3 linked regions of the Arabidopsis thaliana genome follow. The protein of the gene in region 2 interacts with the protein of the main gene of each other region in a pairwise test. Each region holds a gene or a part of one and is shown on either strand. Other genes may lie near its edges.

Region 1 (4,239 bases), on a different chromosome or scaffold from region 2:
GTCATTAAAGAGGCTATGAGATTCTACATGGTTTCTCCTTTGGTTGCAAGGGAAACTGCTAAAGAAGTGGAGATAGGAGGTTATTTACTCCCAAAGGTATATTCAAACCCATCAAGCGGATTAGTCCATTTACAGTCAGCACTTGTAATCTATTACTTACCTTGTGGTTGTTGCTTAGGGGACATGGGTTTGGTTAGCACTAGGAGTTCTAGCAAAGGACCCTAAAAACTTTCCAGAACCGGAGAAGTTCAAGCCGGAAAGATTTGATCCGAACGGAGAAGAGGAGAAACATAGACATCCATACGCTTTCATCCCATTCGGTATCGGTCCACGAGCCTGTGTTGGACAGAGATTTGCCCTGCAAGAGATCAAACTCACATTACTGCATCTCTACCGTAATTACATTTTCAGACATTCCCTAGAAATGGAGATACCACTGCAGCTTGATTATGGTATAATTCTCAGCTTCAAGAACGGGGTTAAGCTCAGAACCATCAAAAGATTCTGATTCTTGAAACAAGTGAAATAAAAGCAAGACTGAAATTTATATTTAAATTCAAAACTCCAATGTAGTTCCAAAGGAAAAAGAACAATTAACAACATACACAGATATCTCACAACACACAAGACAACAACAAGCTGTTGAAACTCCAATCTAACAAGGTCACATTTAACCTCTCGGCTTCTCGAATCGAGTAGGAACACCGAGTGGTTTGGAGAAACTAACAAAAGGATCTGAGGAAGGACTAGTCTTCAATTCCCCTGTAAACATTCCAGAGTTCTTCATAAACTGAAACTCATCCATAGATTGCCTGAGACCGCGGTTAGTTCTTCGCTTAGCCTTTGTCGATTCAGTCAAGCTCATGTAACTTGGCTTGTGCTTTTTTGCTTGACTGCTAGAGTTATCTGAAACAAGTCCAGTTTTTCCAGAAACAGGCGTAGTTGAAGTACAAATCGAGGATGAACCTGAGCTCTCGTTAAACTCATAACCAGGACTTGAAGACAGCATATGAGGAGGAGGTTTTGCAGATACTCTAGTGGTCACATTGTTTCTTCTAACTTGAACAACATCCGCAGTTTCCGGTGATTTCAAATGTTTATGAGGCAGAGGAGGAGGCGTGGCAGCGGTATCAACAGTGTCCATAAGTCTAGTCTCCCATGGCCTAGCAGCCATCCAACGCTCCAACCAACTCCATCCCCAACTATTCTTATCAAACTCTTGACTTTTAAGATACGAAATCGAACTATTCGTCTTAAGGTTTGAGCTAGTAGTTGACCTCCATTGCTACACAAAACAAGATTCCCGATTCAGCTTCAGACACGAACTTAAACAAGATGTTGAATGTGGACAAGTTAGTTACCTTTTGAGCAAGAGCATAAGCCAAAGCACGTTCCCTCTTAAAAGCACCTTCTTGTCTCTGCTGCAACTTTGACTTAATATCATCCACAGTACCTTTCCTATCACACCACCCTTCCTGAGAACATAACAAATCTCAAAACAATAAACAATCATCAAACCAATGAGCTAAAAAGGTAAAGACAAGAACCTCGACTTCTTTCAAGAGATCAGATTTGGTTCTATGTTCATCTAAAAGCTTTTGAACAGCTTGTCCTTCAACAGTCATCCTCACACGACGAGCTCTAACACGAGCTTGTACTCTCACCAAAGCTTGCATGCATCTCAATGTAACAGCTGCTTGTTTCCTAACTTGTCTTCCTCTCACTAAAGCTTGTAACCTCACTATCCCTTTCAATGCCCTCAACGCTCTTCTCGCCTAATTAACAACAAATCCTCAAATTAAACTAAGTTCTATTCCTCTCAATTCTAATCAAAACCAATTAGCAAACTCACCAAGAATCCACGAAAAGCGGTTTGGATTCTAATAGCAGCCCATTCTTCTCTAACAGCTTTGAAATCTTTAGGAGGAGCTCTAAGAACAGTAGCAACAGCAGCAGAGTAAACAGTAGAAGAATCAACACCGTCTGAATCAGACCGATGTTTTCCTCGAAAACCCTTCCATGAATCTACTGAAGTAGTCCTCCATAGCTTCCATTTCTTGTTTTTCCCATTACCCTTTTCCTGAAAACAGAGTATCTCTCGATAAAGCTTTAACCTTTGAACGAGAGAACAAAAAAAAAAGATAATGAACTTACGATTTCATCCTTCTCTAGCTTCTTGAGACCGATAATGGACTTGACCCATTTCCCTGAAGCACCCATAGATTAAAAAGTTTCGATCTTTTTGGCTCGAATTCGTAGATTATTTTTTTCTTCAGGTATGTAGAAAGTTTGAGAGTGAGAGATTGATAGAGAGAGAGAGAATATCGGAGAATGTGAAGTTGTGGTGGTAATGGAGGGAGTGGTGGGTTAAAGAGAAGTTTTTGAAATTTGAACAAATCAAAGCAAAGCAACAAACAAAATATTAATAAAAAGTTTGCTCGAGTCTTTAGGCTTTTGTCTCTGATTGTGTTTTCACACTTATTTATTACTTACACAAACAAATGTGTCTGTGTCCTTCTCAGAGTTACAGGCATGAAAAAAGAAACCATGAAAAGGTACAATAAATTAATAAATATATATATATATGTATGTTAGGCTTTTTGTTGTTTTTTACTTTTTACAGTGACTCACTCATGTTCATGTAATACCTTGTTTTGTTTTATTATTCTTATATCATTGGATTCGAAATTTAAACTTCCCAAAATGTTGCAAATCAGATTTACGAAATACATTCTCTTTCGAAAAGCAATGTTTAGCTTTTGGATTTTGTGATTTGGACTGGTTAGACCTATCACTTGTCTAATAACCTCTATAACAGAACTTATTATCTTATATAATTATGACAAGGTTTTCTTTCTAAGACCATACACATTGGTCTTATGACTCAACAGTCAACACCCTATTTAACTCTCCACAAAACAGCGTTATAGCAATTTAAACTTTACAACTCTATTGCAAATTATAATAAATTATGCTCTCATAAAAAAACTAAATTCACGAGTGATTGATACAAAAAAACAACAACTGAAACGACAAAAGAACAACCTAAATTCACGAGTTAAAGAATCGAAAAAAATGCCCATGTATCTCCCAAATTTAGTTTTCAATATATATACTATTTTTTCTCGCTCATATTTAGTTTGAGTGAATCTTGTACATGAATCTATTTGTCTAGCAACTTTAAGATTAATTAGACATAATAAAAAAAAAAGATTAATCAGACAGAGAAAAAAGATGAACTCTGTAAAGATTGGGTCCTTAGCTATACAATGAAAATGAGATATATACAATTAATTCTAATTGATGATAACTTCTTAAAATAATAAAACAAAAATTACATGAAAACATGTACCACCGAAAACATGCACCATCACACTTGGGATTGAGTCCCGCTCGATACAAATGTAGGGATTTGGCTAATGGGCCGGACAATTGTGGCCCAATGTTGAAAAAAAACTACATGAAATACACAATGAAAGGAAAAAAATTCGATCCAAGAGTTGTTTGTCTGGCTAATGGGCCGGCCAATTGTGGCCCAATGTTGAAGAAAAAACTACATTAAACATACAATGAAAGTAAAAAAAATCGAGTCAAGAGTTGTTTCTGATATGATGTACATTAGCGATTAATGTGCTAACTCACAAATCAACCAGAATGGTGGTGGCATAGCTCTTAAAGAGGAAATGAGATAGAAACAATATGTTACAAACTAAAAATAAATCAAAATCATAGAGTATTACAACACACAAATAAATAAATTGGAAACAGACTCTACATGAAACCCATGAAATGAATTAGAAGAGAGAACACAAAAATATTGTATTAAATAAAATCTTTTGCCATTTTTCAATTGAGGATCATAATACATTGACGATGAAATCCAGAGATTGAATTCCTGATACCAAAAAAAAAAAGCAAATCAAAACCAACTATTGTTTTTTAACACAATTTAATCCACCTCATTTTCATCATCATTTGCAATATCCTATTAAATCAATTCAACACTCTCTATTGTAAATAATTTTAGATCATATTAAGCGGATCACTTTCGGCAAACGAATTCTTTAGACATAGGAGTGTAACTTTGGCTTTGGGTCGTTTTTCACATATCTTTGAAGGTAGAGAGAAGAGATAGTCAAAATCCTTTTTTAACTTCTTTAGTTGTTGGAGCTTTCTTTGGAATTTGACTAAACTTATGGTTTCTCTACTGTTGGACTAGGTTGGATTTCTTCATATCCA
Region 2 (5,921 bases):
GCCGTGAGCGGTGTAGACACAAACGGAGTGTCCTTTTTTAAGGAACTTAAGAAAACAACCGCCAAGAAGGACATCGAGGTAAAAATAGTTGTTTTCACAATCCGATTTTGTCACTTATCCAAGGAAACTAATTAGATTTTGATCTAAACTGGATATTTATTTTATGTGTGAAGCTTGTGTTTGTGAACCCTCTAAGCGAAGTGGTGGAGAAGCTTCAAAGAGCTGACGAACAAAAAGAGTTCATGAGGCCCGAGTTTCTCTTCTTAACCGTCGCTGAGGCCGTTGCGTCGCTCTCTCTTAAAGGGCCATCTCTCAGTAACGTTTAACTATAATTTTTTGTATCGGTCCAATATTGATATTTAACCGATGGTTAAATTTTTCTTTTTGTCTCTTTTTCATCTTTTAATTTCAGTACAGATGTAATATTACGTTCTTCTCTCTCTTTCTTCAGTGATGATTTTGGTCAAGATATGTTTGTATGATTTCGCCATTTTGTAGTTTACTAGGCCATGTTTAGTCTCCGAGAATAAAATTGATCTAGAATCGAATTGATATCTTAGCTAGATCAAACGGATGTATATCCAAATTATTTATGAAATAAACTGATTAAATAAAAAAATAAAAATAATATTTTTATTTAAGATAATTATGTTTTATAATATTAGAAAATATGACCAAACCATGAGCAGAATTGTGTTAAGAACTTTGCCAAGTTAGAGCTTACATTATATATCAAAAGTCAATGTGTAATTGTCAAGAGGGATAAACCGACGCGGATGAATCGAAGAAGCAATTGCTTTCAAGAAGACTTCAAATCAGCTATGTGTCTGCGATTATAATTGTGTAAACGTTATAAGCAAGAAATTTATCTCAAAATAAAACTGGTCTATAAATCAAATCGAATTGAAAATTTAGCTAGATTAAAAGATGAAATGAACTGATAACATAAACTAATAGATATTTTTAATAAGATGTTACTACTTTTGTGAAATGATAAAATATTTCTGAAGTTAATCGAATTCATTCAAAGCTATGATAACATTGTGACTTCTAGGAAAAAACAATTCTTGATACGGTCGCGGAAAGATCTTGATAACATTGTGACTTCCAGTCTTCCATATGGCATAAGGTATTCTTTTACACTAATACTTTCCCGACAACAACAACGAAAAACTCCAACCTTTTTTTAAAAGGCCACATAGAATGCATGATAGACCATCTGAAAGAAAATGGACAGGGTGGCTTAAAAGTGAGATTTCTTGGGATTGCATAGGATGTTATAATTAACCCTAGCTTGAAAAAAAAAAGACGATTAGACAATAAGAAATAGAATTTAGGTCAACTTAGTTCGGCGAATATGATCTTGCATTGCACCTTCTTTACCAATTTATAGTGATCTTTTGCTCCTTATAAGCACATGTTTAAATCACCACTACGACATTGTTTCTGTTTGGGCCAAATGCACACTTGTATTTTATCTCACAACGAGCTTATGAGAAATCAATCCTAGTAATACGTTAAGTGGCCCAAGAAGTTTTGGACCGGCATTTACGTGTATATAAAAAAATATTATGATTACTTTTAGATGAAACCACACTTAATTTCTTCTTTTTTCTTGGTAAACCACAATATCTCTTTATTGTTTTTATCAAGGATTCACAAAATTCATTGAATGGAAATTTTCATTTATGTGTGACATGTAGACAGTCAGTCCACTCTAAAAAATCTCAGTCAATTTCGTAACAAATTCATAACCTATTTCAAACACAATTCATAACCATAACTTATAAATACTACATAAATGATATTTCTTTATATCATCTTAAATGGTACATAAATTAGGGGAAAGCTAAGATATATATAGTATTAAAAAGTACAAAAATAGATAAGGTTTATAAATGTTTAAAGAAGTAATAAAATAGAAATAAGAACTAATTAGGTCGTCATGTGTTTGCTGTATAAAAAGCTGTAAAGGGACATCTCTCGTAAATCTAAAAATCATCAAATCTTCTCCTTCTCTCTCTCTCTCTCACACACTCACTAGCTTCTCTGTTAAAAGCTTCCGTCATCACATAGAGAACAGAGACTGACACTAACTCACTTCCTAACGGTTTCCACACTCAAAATTACACTTTTGCCACTCCGGCGAACAACAATATGATCACATGGCACGACCTCTACACCGTCCTCACGGCGGTGATACCACTCTACGTAGCCATGATCCTCGCTTACGGCTCAGTCCGGTGGTGGAAAATCTTCTCACCAGACCAATGTTCCGGCATAAACCGCTTCGTCGCTATTTTCGCCGTCCCTCTTCTCTCTTTCCACTTCATCTCCTCAAACAATCCTTACGCAATGAATCTCCGATTCATCGCAGCCGATACACTCCAAAAACTAATCATGCTCACTCTCCTAATCATCTGGGCTAACTTCACTCGCTCCGGTAGTCTTGAATGGAGCATCACAATCTTCTCTCTTTCAACACTTCCCAACACTCTCGTTATGGGAATACCTCTCTTGATCGCCATGTACGGAGAATATTCCGGCTCACTCATGGTTCAGATCGTTGTTCTTCAGTGTATAATCTGGTACACGCTTCTTCTCTTTCTTTTCGAATACAGAGGAGCTAAGATCTTGATCATGGAACAGTTTCCAGAGACTGGTGCTTCGATTGTATCGTTCAAAGTTGAGTCCGATGTTGTTTCTTTAGATGGACATGATTTTCTTGAAACTGATGCTCAAATCGGTGACGATGGTAAGCTTCATGTTACGGTGAGAAAATCAAACGCTTCTCGGAGATCTTTTTACGGTGGTGGTGGTACTAATATGACTCCTCGTCCGTCTAATCTCACCGGAGCTGAGATTTATAGTCTTAACACTACTCCAAGAGGATCTAACTTCAATCATTCTGATTTTTACTCTATGATGGGGTTTCCCGGTGGCCGGCTTTCGAACTTTGGTCCGGCGGATATGTACTCTGTTCAGTCCTCGAGAGGACCTACTCCTAGACCTTCGAATTTTGAGGAGAGTTGTGCTATGGCTTCTTCGCCAAGATTCGGGTATTACCCGGGAGGAGCTCCCGGGTCGTACCCAGCTCCTAATCCGGAGTTTTCTACCGGTAATAAAACCGGTAGTAAAGCTCCAAAAGAGAATCATCATCATGTAGGAAAATCAAATAGTAATGATGCTAAGGAGCTTCATATGTTTGTTTGGGGATCCAACGGATCACCCGTTTCGGACCGAGCTGGTCTTCAAGTTGATAATGGAGCCAATGAACAAGTCGGAAAATCCGATCAAGGCGGTGCAAAAGAGATTCGAATGTTGATCTCTGATCATACTCAAAATGGTGAAAACAAAGGTTTTTAACTTTTAAATTGTATTTTTTTTTGTAACATATGGACACAAATCTCAAACTGTATTTGCTTAAATTTGTAGCTGGTCCGATGAACGGGGACTATGGCGGGGAAGAAGAGTCGGAGAGGGTAAAGGAAGTGCCTAACGGACTACACAAGCTTCGGTGTAACTCCACAGCAGAGCTAAACCCTAAAGAAGCTATAGAAACGGGTGAAACTGTACCGGTAAAACATATGCCACCAGCGAGTGTGATGACTCGGCTGATATTGATAATGGTGTGGAGGAAACTCATAAGAAACCCAAACACTTACTCTAGTCTCATTGGTCTCATTTGGGCTCTTGTTGCTTTCAGGTAACTTAATCAAAAATCAACTACTAGTGGAAGTTTATTATTATTGTGAGATTTGATTAGAGTGATGATTATGGTAATTTGGATATGAAGGTGGGATGTGGCAATGCCTAAAATTATTCAACAATCAATCTCAATTCTTTCTGATGCTGGTCTTGGTATGGCAATGTTCAGTTTGGGTGAGTCATCTTTTTACTCTGTTTCTTTTTTCCGTTAACTCATTTACTTTCTTTCTATTTTTACGCCAATCAAATGTCACAACATCCACATTCGTACGGAAAAAATTGTAACTTTTTTTTGGTGAGGATTCCAATAATTGAAAATGGTTGGTATTTTTTAAGATTTTTTGGGATGGCCCGTTACGGCATGGACCATCCGACAGGTAGGGTCATTGATGCGACGTCGAATTATATAAACGGTCGTGGTGGGATGACATAGCTCGTGTTCTTGATTGTTGTCGTGGTCCCCATATTAAGTGGAAGTTGATTGGACTTACAATGTACATGAATGCATCATCATCATCATTTATTGGATTTAGATTACGTTTACATGTATTGCATCATTCAGCACTTGTTGTTTTGAGTGGAAATGAATTAACTGAAAATGTGAAAATGGTGAAGGGTTGTTCATGGCATTGCAACCGAAATTAATTGCTTGCGGAAATTCGACGGCGACTTTTGCGATGGCGGTGAGATTCTTTACTGGACCAGCGGTAATGGCCGTGGCAGCAATGGCTATTGGATTACGTGGAGACCTATTGCGTGTGGCCATTGTTCAAGTAAATTAAACTATTTTCGTTTGTTGTTAACAATCTCTTTGTAAGAAGTAGTTTAACCAAATCTTGTGGTAACGTTGTAGGCTGCATTGCCTCAAGGGATCGTGCCGTTTGTGTTTGCAAAAGAGTATAATGTTCATCCCGCAATCTTGAGTACAGGGTAAGTATTTCATATTGAACCAATAGTAAAACTTTTCTTATGCATAAGAGAAGATTACTAATATTGTTGATTCTTATGTGTATTATTGCAGGGTAATATTTGGAATGCTTATCGCACTACCGATTACACTTGTTTACTACATTTTACTCGGGCTATAAGCTCTTCAATGGAGAAGTTCTGCTTGGCTGAAGAGGATAAAGAGAAACAAGATAATTCCAAGATTAGTGGAACGCAACTAGAAAATGTAATGTAACACGAAATGTAGTAAATTTAAAGGGACCAAGATTTGATTTGAGGATCCAAAAACCCTTTTCTTGTCTATATATTTTCTAGAGATTATTTGAGAAAGAAGGTGATGGAATGAGAGAGACAAGAGGACCAAAACAAGGGAAAGCAAAAAAAACAGAGGACTAAGATTTGATTTGAGGATCCAAAAACGCTTGTATATTTTCTCTTCTTTTTTTATAAGAAGGGTAAAGCTTTGTTCATATATTTTGACTTGCAATAATTTCTCTTACTTTCTACTTTCATTTTGTTTAAAATTAGGTAGGTACGGTATTCATTTTTTGTTTGTTTTGTGTTTTGTGTAGGTTACTTCTTTCGACGAAAGTGTGTTTTTGTGGATTTTCCTTTCTCATCTAGTATACATTGCTCTCACAAAAGTAAGGACTGTTTTATTCCAATTAAATAAAGAAAATGACCTCTTAGTTAGCGATTAGGCGTGAAGATATATTACAATTGGTTTTATTTAATTTTTGTTCTTGTCTCATGACGTATATGATTATATTTATATTATAATTACATCAAAAGATATGAAATGAAGAAAATCATATGATAGAATTCGAGTAAAACCAGGAAAAAGATGCACCATTTTCTTACAATTCGGCTCTTCGTTATACATAATAAGGGGAAAATGAGTCCAGAACATCTCAACCCATTGAACTTTTAAATGAAGAAAACTAAACGTTTTACCAATTGAGTCACTTTATATTTTACTATTTTATGTTAGACATATTACTATACTAATTTGGACGTTGAGAAAATTTCTCTCTTTTTTCTCAAAAGGAATTTGTCTAGTATAACTTTAGATGCTGTTTAGACAAGTACGTCGACTTGATAAAGCTCTAGTTACCATTCAGAGCATTGGTTACCATTCAGAAGTGGGTTAGGCGCTTTGCACTCAAAACGCGGTGTCGTCGTTTTAGTAAGCTTTGTGATGTAAACACAAATTATATATAGAAAAATAAAAACATAAAAGTAATAAATTAACAAGCAGAAAGTTA
Region 3 (3,925 bases), on a different chromosome or scaffold from region 2:
TTTTTTTGTTTTTATCATCAGGGAAGTGGTCATTAGCCTCTTAACCGGATCTCCACCTGGAACAAAGCTTATGAAGGCTGAGGTATTTGCAGCAGGCAGGACCAAACTTGAACGTGAAATCACCAACAACGAATATATAAAGGTCTTCACTTGAGCTCTCTTTGACTTTTTTTTTGTGTTTCGACCAAAGCGTAGTTTTAGTCTCTAAACTCTGTGTGTTGTGTGACAGGTGATGCACGAGATCTGTGAAACCAACTCTTCAGGATGGGTTTTACAGAAAGCTCGATGATGAGTTTATTAAATCATCATGACTAGATTTTAATGGTCTATAAATTTTGATATGAGTAAACGGTTCAGTAGTTATGAGATATTCATATTTTGTTTTTCCTTTTTGAAATCAAACAACCTTTTTTCTATTACTCAACTAGAGTTGGTAAGACAAGCCACACCAACACAGGAAAATAAACATAAGAAGCAACAAAAGAACTATACAATACACATAGACGGCTAAGTTCAAACTTGACAGAGAGTGTTCTAATGTTCTCTATTGAAATCTTAAGCATATTCGAATATATTTTACATGCAAGAATGTAAAAAAAAAAGAAAACAACAATGTGAACACATGAAATTGGAAGAAAGTGTAAATACTTGAAACTTTTCAATCTAAAGGTTTTCACAGTTTGATGTGATCTCAAATAACAAAAAAAGGTAATACGAACTCATAAACTGTTGTTCAAAAAGGGAACAAGAGAAACATTGTCAATCTAATTCAGTTTAGATGAAGAGGCTGCAAAACCCGAACTCAATCTTGTGTGCCGTTTCACCATCCTCATCTGGAGCAGAAGTTCCCTCAGAATATGTGCACCAAGTCATACGCAAATCTACTCCATTGTTAAGGAAACCTACTGAGACAAACAGAGAATAGAGAGAGCTGTTTTCGAGTTGCGCATATACTTGATTCTACACGAAGTAAACAAAAAGGCCATTTCTATGTTAATCACAGGTTCTTAAGAAGCTAATCATTTTTACCTACACCATACCATAGATGTTTTTCCATAAAGCTAATCAACCTTTGATTTAGTTTTGCACATTATCATAAAATGAGTATGACCACCAAATTGAGTTTAAGGATACGTCCAGAACAGCACAAACGACTGCGAAAAAGAAAACAACACCGCGATTAGTATGAGATTAACAGGTTGGATCAACAACATGTATCTTGAAGCAACAAACAATGTAATAAGAAAAGGAAATGAAGATATACCATAAGGCCACCAAGAAAACCGTCAAAAAGAACCCGATTCCACGAATCAAAGTACAAGTCAGCTGAGAATCCTGCCTTAGCCATGAGCCCAACAGATGTGATCAACATCACCACAAAGTAAAATACAAAACCAATCAAGCCATTGAATCCAATTATTCCTGCTAAGACACCAGCTATGATAGACAGAAACGTCCGGCTGCAAACACGAACAAAATGAGGGATAACAAGTCAAAAAACCCGAGAACCATCATCTTTTTAAGAAAACGAAAGAGAGAGAATTGTATTGAATCAGACCTGTTTTGAATGACTTTCAAATTGTTCTGCAAATTCTCTGCACTGAAAGTTGGTATGTCACTCATGATATCCTTTGATCTCTTCTCAGATGAACCCATTTAAGATAACAACAATCTGAAACAACATAAATTTCAAATCTTTGTATTGGATTTTACATTACAGTAACAAAAAAGGAAGAACTTGGACATCATAGAGTAAGTGTATAGATTACAAACCCAAAAAAGTATTGATTTTAAGCAAATTTCCACAGGAAAATTAGGGGTTTCTAATTGATTCAATGATTCTATAACTGGGTTTCGCTATCTAAGCATCACAATAAATTTCGATTCCTAAAGGTTAAGACTTTATGATTATCTCTTAAGTAGTCGAGAGTGGGAGCAACTATGATTAATCGATCTGGTTTTATCGATCTCTTCCGATCTACTACTTTGAGATCTACACAAACTTTGGAAAAGGAATTGATATAGACTTACAATTAGAAACGAGAGTAGTAAGAGGAAGATCGAAGTAGCTTGCTTTGGTACTTGGGATGAATTGAATGGAGAGGATGAGCCAATTTGAGAGAGAACAATCAGACGAATATCTTTAAGTTCTTTAGAGTGTTTTTAGACAAAAGAAAAACACAGAGAAAACAAGTAATATATAAACCGTAAAATCGAACCGGAACCAAACCTTAAACCGGATTGTCCACTACTAATCAAAATTAACAACACTCTCCAACTATGCTAGTTAAATTTCTTGATATTGAAACGGATAACATGATTATACATCACAATTTGTGATTATGAAAATTCGTTACTTACTACTAAAGATGAGCAGTTCAGTTTGTTCCAAGTTTTGGTTTTATAAAACCATCGCTATTACATTCAAACTGAAATTAATTCGGTTTGGTTTTGTTTGCTTAGGAGGTTTTAATATGTTTAACAAAACACTTAACCAATGCATTAGTAAGTACGGTAAATGGTTATATATGGAGTAGCGGTAAAAAAAAAACTTAGGTGCTTTTCGTTTGGTTTGGTTCCAGATTGATTTATGCAAATTTCAGTTTTGGTTAAACTTAAACCGAATGTAGACAAAATCATTCGTCGTATTCGTATCTAGCTTCAATATCAACTAAAACCAAAATAGCATTCCAGATCTCGATTCCAACAATCTCAGTAATGATAAAAATTAATTATTGCTACAATGCATCAGTCTGTAACAACAGAATCATTAGAGCGACGCTGATGATGAGGATGACGATACTCAGCTCGGATTTTAGATTCTAGGACAGAGACATATCGATCTAGAACAGAGATCACAGCTTCAAACTCCGACACTTGTTTCTCGATAGCATCCATTTGTCCTACAAATTCATCCAAGCCACCACTTTTTGATTTCATCTGTTCTGCGAAAACTCTGAGCCCAGCTGCCACGTCACCCATATCATCGTACTCTGACGCAACTCTCAGGTTCATCTTCTCCAATAGATCTAGATGGTTGTTCGTTCCCTATTTTTATCCAATTCAATTTCAGATCTGTGGAAACAAATAAATCTGTAAAATTTCGGATTGATTTTCACCTGGAGCTCGGATTTGACCATAGATGAAACACTCGTGAATAGATTTTGTAGCGATTCAGCTAGATCATCTCGTGAATCCGCCATTGATGAGGATATTTACTTCTTTTCGCAAAGACAAAGACAAAGACAAATAAACAATGGCTCTTCTGTTGTTTAGGGCACTTTCCATATTTGTTGAATTAGTGATATTTAGGTTAAGCTACACGTGGAGGCTTATTATTCGTTGATATCAACTATTGTCCATGTCTGTAAGCCTCTCCCTACGACAGAGGTTTTCAGAGCAGTAACAAACAACTTACACATGAGAGTTAACATTGCACAGTCTGAGATTATACTCGCTAGATTCTTTTCAAGTCTTGAAGAACAACATGTGCAGCGTTTCTTCCAGGTGCACCCATAACTCCGCCTCCAGGATGAGCTCCGCTGCCACACAAGTAGAGACCTTTCAAAGGGCTTCTGTAATTTGACCTGTTTCACACAGTCCAACAAAGTTTTGAATTTCATAATCATAAATCGTAAAGACTGTTTTGAGTACTTCGGAGTCACGTACCATCCTTTCACAGGGCGCATCAGGAAGAGAGAGTCTAATCCCATGGCACCGTGAAAGATGTTTCCGCCTGCAGAATACAAATGGGCAGTCATGTCAATATGGTTTGGCCATGTCGCATGTACTTGGGATCTTTCTCCAAGTACTTCACTTTATATACCTGTTAGACCAATTTCCCGTTCCAGGTCCGGAGGAGTCAACATGTCGTAGCTAATGATGGATGAGCTAAACCCGGGTGCATATTCATCAATCAGTTTGA

The links. Proteins that work in one complex are often made in the same cells at the same time.
Region 1: the proteins of PIN7 (region 2) and IQD6 interact in a protein complementation assay, tested with the Arabidopsis thaliana proteins (one large-scale study listed by BioGRID).
Region 3: the proteins of PIN7 (region 2) and AT5G49540 interact in a protein complementation assay, tested with the Arabidopsis thaliana proteins (one large-scale study listed by BioGRID).

The regions. Positions count from the first base shown.
Region 1 is NC_003071.7:11,142,763-11,147,001, forward strand, and holds IQD6 (IQ-domain 6), read right to left. Parts: upstream 2,342-4,239; 5' UTR 2,221-2,341; coding exon 2,155-2,220; intron 2,081-2,154; coding exon 1,853-2,080; intron 1,776-1,852; coding exon 1,548-1,775; intron 1,476-1,547; coding exon 1,362-1,475; intron 1,286-1,361; coding exon 671-1,285; 3' UTR 528-670; downstream 1-527. Other genes in the region: CYP711A1 (cytochrome P450, family 711, subfamily A, polypeptide 1), read left to right, coding at 1-96, 179-508. UniProt on the Arabidopsis thaliana protein: May be involved in cooperative interactions with calmodulins or calmodulin-like proteins. Recruits calmodulin proteins to microtubules, thus being a potential scaffold in cellular signaling and trafficking.
Region 2 is NC_003070.9:8,179,643-8,185,563, reverse strand, and holds PIN7 (Auxin efflux carrier family protein), read left to right. Parts: upstream 1-1,913; 5' UTR 1,914-2,157; coding exon 2,158-3,358; intron 3,359-3,435; coding exon 3,436-3,706; intron 3,707-3,796; coding exon 3,797-3,882; coding exon of another isoform or gene 3,883-3,920; exon of another isoform or gene 3,921-4,323; coding exon 4,324-4,481; exon of another isoform or gene 4,482-4,561; coding exon 4,562-4,638; exon of another isoform or gene 4,639-4,729; coding exon 4,730-4,796; 3' UTR 4,797-5,375; downstream 5,376-5,921. Other genes in the region: AST91 (sulfate transporter 91), read left to right, coding at 2-78, 174-326. UniProt on the Arabidopsis thaliana protein: Acts as a component of the auxin efflux carrier. Mediates the initial auxin gradient which contributes to the establishment of the apical-basal axis in early embryogenesis.
Region 3 is NC_003076.8:20,103,954-20,107,878, forward strand, and holds AT5G49540 (Rab5-interacting family protein), read right to left. Parts: upstream 2,326-3,925; 5' UTR 2,032-2,325; intron 1,673-2,031; 5' UTR 1,657-1,672; coding exon 1,559-1,656; intron 1,461-1,558; coding exon 1,265-1,460; intron 1,155-1,264; coding exon 1,135-1,154; coding exon of another isoform or gene 1,125-1,134; exon of another isoform or gene 882-1,124; coding exon 851-881; 3' UTR 528-850; downstream 1-527. Other genes in the region: AT5G49530 (SIN-like family protein), read left to right, coding at 22-142, 230-289; BLOS2 (biogenesis of lysosome organelles complex 1 subunit-like protein), read right to left, coding at 2,749-3,048, 3,120-3,203; AT5G49555 (FAD/NAD(P)-binding oxidoreductase family protein), read right to left, coding at 3,458-3,587, 3,670-3,736, 3,827-3,925.